Linked DNA regions of Drosophila melanogaster. The protein of the gene in region 1 purifies or fractionates together with the protein of each later gene. This does not show direct contact. Each region holds a gene or a part of one and is shown in the gene's direction. Other genes may lie near its edges.

What was found. The genes of interacting proteins can lie anywhere in the genome.
Region 2: the proteins of nerfin-1 (region 1) and Cdep purify together in Drosophila melanogaster (affinity purification with mass spectrometry, with the first as the bait; one large-scale study listed by BioGRID). This does not show direct contact.

The regions. Positions count from the first base shown.
Region 1 is NT_037436.4:907,190-912,848, forward strand, and holds nerfin-1 (nervous fingers 1), read left to right. Parts: upstream 1-1,922; 5' UTR 1,923-2,108; coding exon 2,109-3,518; 3' UTR 3,519-5,130; downstream 5,131-5,659.
Region 2 is NT_033777.3:4,908,786-4,913,551, forward strand, and holds the start of Cdep (Chondrocyte-derived ezrin-like domain containing protein), read left to right. Parts: upstream 1-1,766; 5' UTR 1,767-2,300; intron 2,301-4,766. Other genes in the region: Gnf1 (germ line transcription factor 1), read left to right, coding at 1-305, 364-1,141.

The DNA.
Region 1 (5,659 bases):
CATTAATCGAAACTTCTAGAGATTTAATAGACGACTTCCCCCTTAGAAGCAAGTGCGGAGATCGTATGCCATGGAAATATCAAAAGTGCACTCTGATCTGGTGGATGATGATAACCGCAGAGAAGCCTCTAAACAACGCGCACTAATCCGTTTCAATGGGCTTGTCTCAGATTAATCAATTTTCGTCCTTTTTGATGGCTTGATTTCCCGTTTCCTTTTTCGCTCACTTTAGTGAATCGCAAATAAGGCGGCATTTGTGACTGACAGGAATAAGTTGGCAAGGCATCACCGAGTCCTCCGGAGGGGAGGACTTTCGCCACCCGGCACGGGGATGGATTTTGAATCAGTGTATCTGCGATGCCTTTCAGGACCTTCGGATGGCAGCCATCGCGGCCGAAGGACGACAGGACCTTCAGGACAATGCTCGCGTGGCTGGCGCACTTCTGAGACTTTTGTCGCCGATTCACTCGATCCGAAGTTTGGCCCAGGATTTGGCCTCGGATGCGTGCGCTATTTTAATTCTAAGCTGCATGGCAAACATCGATTCCCCTGGCAAAAGGCCACCCTGCTGCGACAGGATCGCCTTGGGAATACTCTCTGCACTTTCAACCATGCACTGCGAGAAAATCAATATTAGTAGCGCATTCAATTCATTGTACAATGTGTATTATAGCATTCTGGCGGAGTTAATACATTCAATTGAATATAAAGCTGAAATCTTAGATCAACTATGCAATTTGGGGGTATTTTCTTTTAGTGCTCACATTGTCAGCCCGTTTTGGGGTGGCAATCGTTGCCATGCACGTGCCTACCGTAATACAAGAACAACAACAATGGCGGCGTGTTCAACATAATATGCCATATTTTCCAAGAGCGAGAGTCCTGCGAATCCTGCGACGAAAGCCCTCGACGGGAATCGAAAGTGCATTCCTTTCATGGCAACCACTGTCGACTCAGTCAGCTCAGTCGGCTTCGCATTTCGATTACATTAATGCAAAGCACTCACACGAACGATACACGTCCAGGATACTCGCACACAGATACAGCTACCGTTACAGCGACAAGGATACGAGGATAGAAGCGATTGTGCGCCATGCTCCGCGGTGGTGAAGTTCGAAGTTCGAATCCAAGTTGTGTCTGCTAGTCTGTTAGTCTGTTACCTACCCCACCAAAAGCGAACTTGACGAGCTTAGTCGTCTGAGGCTGATAAATGCAGTGCCGCAAAGTACACATCGCGAAATTTGTGTATGAGATGTATGAAAAATGTAAAAATAGATAGCAATCCGAACTATGCCCTATGTTGATGTACTTTCCAGCCGTTATTACTTGTTACATTGTTTACTTTTATAACCATCTTGGCCAACAGCTGTTTAGCACCAAATGCCAACAAAGAAACAATTCACCTTTTGGCCCAAGGATATTCCCGATCTATTGATGAACCTTATGGTTACATGCTCAATTAACGACTCCATGGGTGTCAGCTGTTTTTTTTGGCAAAAATAAGGACAATGTGCTGCTCAGATTTCCGCTGAATACACAAACATACATTCATATTTGCCTAGGAAGGTGCTGCGATTTTGGTGCGTGGCAATTTCGGGTACCGAAACAACAGCTGTCGCACATTGATTTCTCCGAGTGCATTGTCCTGGCCGCAAAACGGGAGACTGTGTGGTGTGTGTGTGTGCGTAGGACTTTCACTCCGTGTGTATGTGTGTGTGTGGAAAAAAGGGTGACTAATGTGTGTGTGATTGCTAACAAAAGATTCCGGCTTTTGCGGCTCTGCCGGCGTCGAAAAAGGACAACGACTTCGGCCGAAAAGGGGGTTGAAATGTATTTCCAGGACGCCGGCACAAACAATGATTTCGAGTTTCGGTTTCGCTTTCCTTTGGCCTGTGGTACACATAAATAGCCGCCACCGAGTCCACCGAACGTCATTCGCAGCACAAACGTCGAGCCGACTGGAGGTCTTCTGCATAGAGTCCCAGTCCGCGAGGATCAGCGTTATCAGTTTGTTGTTAAGTTTGCTTAGTTCCCGTTCTACGTTCCCCGTTCTACTCCGTTTTCGTTTTGCCTCGTTGAAGTTTTAAGTTGAAAGTCCCATCGATGCCATGGCCCAGATACAGACACCGATACCGATTCCAGCCCCCGCGGAGCCCATTGAAAAGCTCAGCCACCCGCACAGCATTGGCATCCAGTTGCAGCACAAGGGGATGCCCCATGGCCTGGGCCTGCTGACCACAGTGGCCTCGCTGCCCCCCAAGTACCGCAGTCGATATCTGAACCTGAAAACCAGGTGCGAAATACCGCTGGATCTAACGCTGAAGCTTCCCTCACCACTGCCCAGCAGCGATGTGCCCATGGCGGCCACATTCGCGGAGGTCTATAGCGAAAATACGAGTGCTAGTTCCAGCGAGGTGCAGGGGGAGGTGACCAAGGTGGAGGAGCTGCCGGTGAAGCCCCCAACACCACCGCAGAGTCCAGCAGGGAAGCGTAAATTGAGCCGGGAGAGCTATGACGACGAGCCGGCTAAAATGGCCAAAAAGGAGGAGGAGGTTCCGGTGGAAACAGTAGAATCCACACCAGCGAAACCCGTCAAAGTGGCAGAATCTGCGCCTAAAACCAACAAGGCCTCCACTTCCTCGGGAAAGCCCTCCCGCAATAAAGCCACCCGCAAGCTGAAGTTCGATGAGGAGACCAGTTCCCCCGTCTCGGGCACCGTCATCCGACCGCTCGAGGACATCACCGATGGATCGATGCAGTACAGCAACGGCGACATTGACCCCAAGTACAACATAGTCGAGATCACGGAGGAGACCAAGGCGGAACTGGCCGCCATCAAGAACGTGATCGGGGACTATGTCTGCCGACTGTGCAAGATCAAGTTCGAGGACGCCTTCGGCCTGGCCCGGCACAGGTGCGCCTGCATCGTCCTGCTGGAGTACCGGTGTCCCGAGTGCGGCAAGCAGTTCAATTGTCCTGCTAACTTGGCCTCCCATCGCCGGTGGCACAAGCCGAGGAAGGAGGCGTCTAAAAAGGAGAATCGCAATACCACCAACCAGCCGGAGAAACAGCAGCAGGTGGAGAAAAAGTCGGAGGAGGAACTGGCCTTCGATTGCCAGGAGTGCGGCAAGAAGTTTAAGAGAGCCGCCTACCTGAGGAAGCACCAGCTGACCCATCAGAAAAAGGAAAAGCCAGCGGAAAAACAGTTGGAAATGAAGCCCACCACCACAACTATCACAGGCAGTTTTCACTTTAACCAGGCGGTGTCCACCTCCTCCTCCGCCAGCAGTTCGCACTCCGATGAGGGAGTCTACGTGGTGGGATCGAATGCCAGGGAGAACTACGACTATGACAACGACTACCTCTCGGACTCCAGCTCCTCCGCCTCATCTGCGGGATACGGACGGCTTCAGATTGTGGAACATGGTCTCACGGAGGAGGAAAGCATTGCTGCCGCAGCTCTGACCAACTTGAGGAACTGCGCCTCCGTCATCCAACACACAACCATGGCCCACTGAAATCGAGTGAGATTTATTTTTAATGTTAAGTTTAGTTTCTAGTTGAACACCAAACCCGATGCAGCTGAAACAGACCAAAGAAATAGTTATATTCCACGGAAATTTCGTTTTCCACTTCGTATTCTTAGTTAGCTATAAAATTTAGTTCTTAACCGATTCAGTTTCGTTCGCAAAATGAGTTCAATTCTAGTTAGACTCTAGTTTGTATCCGTACTTCGGCCCACATTCCACACGGCAATTTAGTTGTAACTTAATTTCTAGTCAGTGAATCCAAAGAATCTTGGCACTAGTCAGCTTCAATACGATCTCGAAAAGAGTGTCTCTTGTGTACCACGAAGGCATTTCTATTAGTCTCTAGATTTAGCTAGTTTAGGAACTTTTGGGAGTGCAATGAACCTACAACGAAAGCCAAAGCAACCAACCAAAGATTTATAACTAATACTAGTCAGTCATATATCCATCTACTCCTTTGCTCCTACATCATCCCATGACATCATTCATCACCCATATCATCCTTCATTCTTCTTACTACTAATCATCCCATAGCTTTTCACACTTTCATACCAATTTCCTCATGACTCACTCTCATCCTGTATCATCTTTGCATTTTTTGCTAATCATTTTCCAGTTAATATTCTACCCTTAATTCAACCCTTTAACAACTTTTTCAATCTGGAAATTTCTCGTCATTCTAGTCACAAGTTCTTGCATTCCTTCTAGTCACTTAGGATAAATCATCTCTATAAGTCAGCTTCAGTTCGATCTTACTAAGTTTGTACAAACATATATCGTTCTTCAATTTCGGATACAGCTTTAGTCATATTCAGGTTATATACCGAAACCAAAATTCAGGCAAAATTGTGCAGTAATAGTGTTTAAGTTCGAATCAAACCAAAAAGCAAACCAAATCCTAGTTTAAAGCAAATTCAAGCCCAGTGTTTGTGAACCAAAGTCGAGTGTGAGCTCTAGTCATTTTAGCCACCTAATCAAGCGGAATCAGCTTGTTCTCAGTTTAGTTTAGTTAGTTAAGTTAGGCATAGAAACGGACATTGGACCAGCGTCTCACTACCAGTCAAAGTATTGAACAGTACAACCTAGCTATAAGGGCCACAGGCTTCAGAACCGGCGGTTGTGTACTTAAAGCAATAAAATAAGTAATCCCCGATATCGGGACAATATCACAGCGCTATTGTTCCTTAGCATCAGTATGTGTAAATTGGTTGTAACCGCAGAGTACAACGAAAAGGGAAACTTTCGCTCAATCTAGGAATTAACTAACTCTAAGCTATATCATACATGTAACCATATCGGTTGAGATTTTGTGATACTACAGTCTAAGCTTCAAGTTTACAAGAGAATCGTTGCGCTCGATTGTGCATTAACAATAAGCTAAGAGGAGACAGATCATTGAACCAAGTATTTTTATACGTAATATACACCATATATTTTTATACAAAAACAAACTCTTGAAGACCTTTTTTAATTATATGATGTCTAAGATGTAATCGACATATATTTATCGGAAACCAATATATTTTTATACAAAACCCAATCTTGGAAAACCCATAAAAATTGTAAATTATAAAAGCTCTTGAATAAAAACGCAAAACTGAAAATGAAAACTTCTTGTTGGGTTCTCTTTGGGTTGTCAGGGAAAACAAACCCCCAAATGATTGCTTTATAATTGCGGCGAGGTGGTCATATATCATCTATACGGGGGTTGTAAGACTGGTAACCAATAATGATGAGTGCTCTTGGGTGATTCCTTATAATCATGCCCAAATAACGGCGAACTGCAGTAATGAAATGCCATTAAGGGCCATTGACATGGTCCATCGATCTGGGACCGACTAAAACAAATACCAAAACACACTAACTGCCAAGGCGGAAAAGCGGAAGTGGACCATTGAATCGGACAGATGCATTTGGGCACTGGGCTAAGGACGAGGAAACTTGATGACGATGGGGTGGAATCCCAGGGTGTTTTCAACTCAGTCTCTGGTCGGTCCATAGTGAAACTCTAAACGGGCCAAACTAATGATGCTCTCAACGGAAACGCGTAAAAAATGTTTAATCAAATACAAATGCATGACAGCACGGAAAAAAGGCGAACAGGATATGCCAGGATATGCTAGGATAGT
Region 2 (4,766 bases), on another chromosome or scaffold:
AAAGTAAAGATATCACCGGCCAAAGTGGAAGAAATCATAGCGGCTACCAACAACGATATTCGGCAATCCATTAACCACATTGCCCTGCTGAGCGCCAAGGAAGACGCTTCCCAAAAGTCAGGGCAGCAGGTTGCCACCAAGGATCTGAAGCTGGGACCCTGGGAGGTGGTGCGAAAAGTCTTCACCGCGGACGAGCACAAACACATGTCTTTTGCCGACAAGAGCGACCTTTTCTTTCACGACTACAGCCTGGCCCCGCTCTTTGTGCAGCAAAACTATCTGCAGGTCCTACCACAGGGAAACAAGTAAGTCTAGTTTACCTAAGCCAAGGGCGTACCCATTCACCAACTTCACTCTTTGCAGAAAGGATGTCCTGGCAAAGGTGGCAGCTACGGCAGATGCCCTAAGCTTGGGTGACCTTGTTGAAAAGCGTATTCGTGCGAATTCTGCTTGGAGTCTTCTACCCACTCAGGCCTTTTTCAGCTCGGTCCTTCCTGGCGAGCACATGTGTGGCCACTTCACTGGACAGATTAACTTTCCCGGGTGGCTGGGCAAGAATTCCAAGTCTGGAAAACGTGCCAGGCTGGCCCAGGAGCTGCATGATCATACTAGGGTCTGCACCTCGGGCTCAAGGCTATCAGTGAGGCTGGATTACGCCCCCTTCCTTCTGGATAATATTGTGCGACCTCTTGCAAAGGATGGGCAGGAGGGTGTGCCCGCTGCTTTAGACGTTATGAAGGATTACCATCTACTCCGTGAGGATCTGGACTCGCTGGTCGAGCTTACATCCTGGCCCGGCAAGAAATCCCCACTGGACGCAGTGGATGGGAGAGTAAAAGCCGCTTTAACGCGATCCTACAACAAGGAGGTTATGGCATACTCCTATTCCGCTCAAGCAGGCATCAAAAAGAAGAAATCAGAGGCTGCTGGAGCGGATGACGATTACTTGGACGAGGGTCCGGGCGAAGAGGACGGAGCTGGTGGCCACTTATCATCAGAGGAAGACGAGGACAAGGACAACCTAGAGCTGGATAGTTTGATCAAAGCCAAAAAGAGGACAACTACGTCAAAAGCGTCTGGTGGATCCAAAAAGGCTACATCTTCCACGGCTTCAAAGTCTAAGGCCAAGGCCAAAAAGTGAATGCACTAACGATTTCCTATATTATATGATGATTTTTTTGCCATCAAATTTCCCATTTGTAAGTAGTTTTTGTTTAAAATCTCATGAATGGCCGGCACTGGCCGACACTGTTTATACTGCTGAAAATATATATTTACCAATAAAATATGTGCTTGAATTGCAAAACATTTTATTATAACACTGAGTGGCGTAGGTGTAAACTAAAAAGGGAAAAATTGGTAATAAAATAATTGTCTGTATGAATAATACTACGAAAGAATTGAGATGATGATTTTTTAATTGATCAATTGTTTGCTTTAACTGTATAAGGATCAAGAGCGCGAATATGTCAAGCTCAAATTTATTTAAAAAAAATTGTTGGTAACGCGATCAGTGATGGTCACTCCATGCTCTATAATTTAAACTAATTTGTACTATCGTACATTTACATTTGTGAAAAATACGTTTACAATTTAAAAATTAATTTAAGTCTTTAATTTATACTTAATTAATTATTATAAATATATTATAACATAATAACGTTTTTGGCCTGAAACAAATCGATGATGTTGCGAAGCACAATCGATAATGCAGCAATCGATGTTTCGGCAGCCCTGCTATCTCGTGGTAGCGCCAAAGAGTATCGTATCTGAGTTTTTTCCCCGATGTCAACGCGAACGGATGCACGTACTGGGCAGCGGAAAATGCAGTGAAAATTGCCAGAAAAGTCAGGGGACAGCATGTGCGGGCAAATTCAAGCGAAGCATTCGATTAACTGCCAGAGTGCGCGATCCACTTGATTTTCCGGGAATACCTGCCACGTTCGACGGGTTTCGCGTTCTATATTTTTCGCACTGAAAATTCTCGGCTTACGCGCGCCTGTGTGTGTGGGAGTGTGTATCTGTGTATCCGTGTAAAGGGCGCAGCTCGGCGAAAAACAACACCCATAAATGAGCGAAGCCAGCCTGGCGTCGCGCTTTTAATCAAATTAAAATTAATTGTAGTTCAAAGCGTCGAACTCGTCCGCTTTTTTTTGTTTTTTGCGCAACTCTCTGAAAATTCAATAAGCACGTAAATTCCAGCACACACACAACGACTTCAACCGCGCACACACACAGATACAACGCTGCCGAGCTGGGCGAGCGAACGCGAGAGCGAGAGCGAGCGCGCGATAGAGCAGGCAAGTGCAGACTCCGATTCCCTCCCACACCCCCTGCCCAAGCACCCACCCCATTGCTGTTGTTGTTGGGCCAGGCCAGGCCAGTCACAAGGACACTCTCAGCCTCCCAGCTCACGCATACATGCTCACGCCCGAGAGCCAGGGTTTTGCGCTCCTCTCCCCTTCCCATTCCCCTTGCGCTCGGTAAACAGGTGCCGCGCCTTGTACCGTTACTTTGCCTGCCTTCGGAGGGCTTCGTGCTGCGTGTTTTGGCTACACATGTTTACCTTTCAGCACTCGCCCAAACGTCATTGCAGTGAGTGTGAATCCATCCAGGGGTCAAGTGGGGGGAGTGTTGTGAATGAGGGATTCGAATAAACGAATTTTCCAGCTCATAGCTGTCGCCAATACTCCTTTCACGCAGCATGCAAATTGAGATTTACTCATAATGTATTTTTCGCCCACAAGCCATTTGTCATAAAAACGGTAAAGAATATGAATGTGATTTTAGGTTTATCACATTTCGATAGAACTTATGATGCCACTTGTAAGATAGGATATGCTATAACATCCAATTTGGATGTAAAGATAGCGTTTTTTTTTTTTATACGGGAAAAGAGGAAGAATGGCTCTGAAATGCTTATTTTGCTCCCAGTCGAAGTACACATTGTCCACCTATTAATATATTCAAGCTGAATACAATTTCCTTGCTTTTTCGCCTTTCGCCTTTCATCTTACCCGCATCCTGCCTCATTTTTATCGCCCTTTTCACATTTCTCTGCACACAGCGCTCCATATTCAGGTCATTGCATTTGTTCGACGTTCCACCCCATCGAAACACCACCCACTTCTCGCCCTTCCCCACGCCCCCTCTGACACATTATGCTGCGATCGTCCTGCGTGTGAATGTTTACTTTTCAATAGATTTCGCTTTCGTTCACTCGAAAGTCTGTCAGTGGACAAGTTCTTGTTATTTTCCGCCTCATCGGCGGACCCTGCATTTTTATCGGCTCATGAGGTCAGCGCATTTTTCTGTGCCATGGGACGTATCTCTATTTGCATAGTGACGAAACTCTTCAATAATAAACTCCGCAAAAAGACCGAAACTGATATCAGAGACCTTCCGATAAATGGTTTGCGATAAGGCAGAACAAGGAACACAGTTACAGCTGGGCACCCCTAACGGGTTCAGTATCTTTATCCAGACTGCAAAAACAATAGCCAGAAATGAAATAGATACACCATGGGTGTACATGGGTGAAAGACAGTTGTTCTTGCGTAAGACGACCTCTGTTCATATTTTGGTTGAATGCGAGGTCTGTCTGTAAAAATATAGTATAGTTCGACATACAGGAGGTTTCACTGTACACCACACATATGCAGCACTCTGTTTACACCGCTTCTTATCAGCAGAACGCGGTGTGTGTGGGAGAACCGCTTGGGGCGGGCTAGCGGCACAGATAAGCCAACGCCGACAACACACTTGACTGAAGAGAGCGGAACCGAAGCTGTCAAAATACCCGTTTGTTAGCAAGCTGGTCGTTGAGTTTTTGGCTAGTCAACAGCCCTTCTGACATCATCATTGGGGCTCTTTTAGGATGGATCAAAGTCCCGGCCTAAAAGTTTGCCGTGTAGAAAACTAGGCATATTCTTCATATTCAGTACGTAGTTTGTAGGGTAAACTGTTGGAATATATTTTCCACTTATGACAATGTCGAAGCCATTACACGGATGCAATGGATAAATATAGGCCGAGACAAGAACAACTTGACTTGGCTTGTTGGCCAAAAGAGAACGAGATATTCGTGCAGACAAAATGAGTTAATAGTGGACTCTGGAGAGACTATCTGTCGTTGAATCCCAGAGATACACAGATACAACACACAAAGTCCGCTGATGGCCGCATTGGCCCGGCTAAATTAAGTTGCAAGCCCACTTCCAGCCTATGCCCACATAAATATTTAATTTGCGATCTCAATTCGCTTTGTTGGCTTTCTGAGTGTGTTTTTTTTTTGTTTCATGTAAGCCAGCAAAAGCGGAGAACATATAACAAAATGAGGGTGGTCGTTGATGCGCGGTTCACCCTTGTTCTCCTTTGTTTTTCGGCGATTTAATTGAAATTTGTTTACTCGCCAGTGATTTACACTCGTTAGCAGGTTTTCTGGTTTTGGTCAAAGCATAAAACCATTACCATTTCCGTTTTCAGCTGCCTGAAAATCGAAATGTATCTGGTGTCACGGCCCGTCCGTTATGTGCTGAATATAAATTAAGCACAGTCAATGTGCTTGATCCCCTGTACAGTGGACTCAGGCAAAACCACCAACAGTGCTTCGCAATAAATAATCAATAATCAAAAGTTTTTTTTATTGCTTTCGTGAAGGCTTGTTAACGACGAAATACTTTGCTTACTTCTTACTTTTTCTTACTACTTTGCTACTTCTTGTAGTGCTATAAACATTTACATGGCATTTATTTGAAAGATTCCTT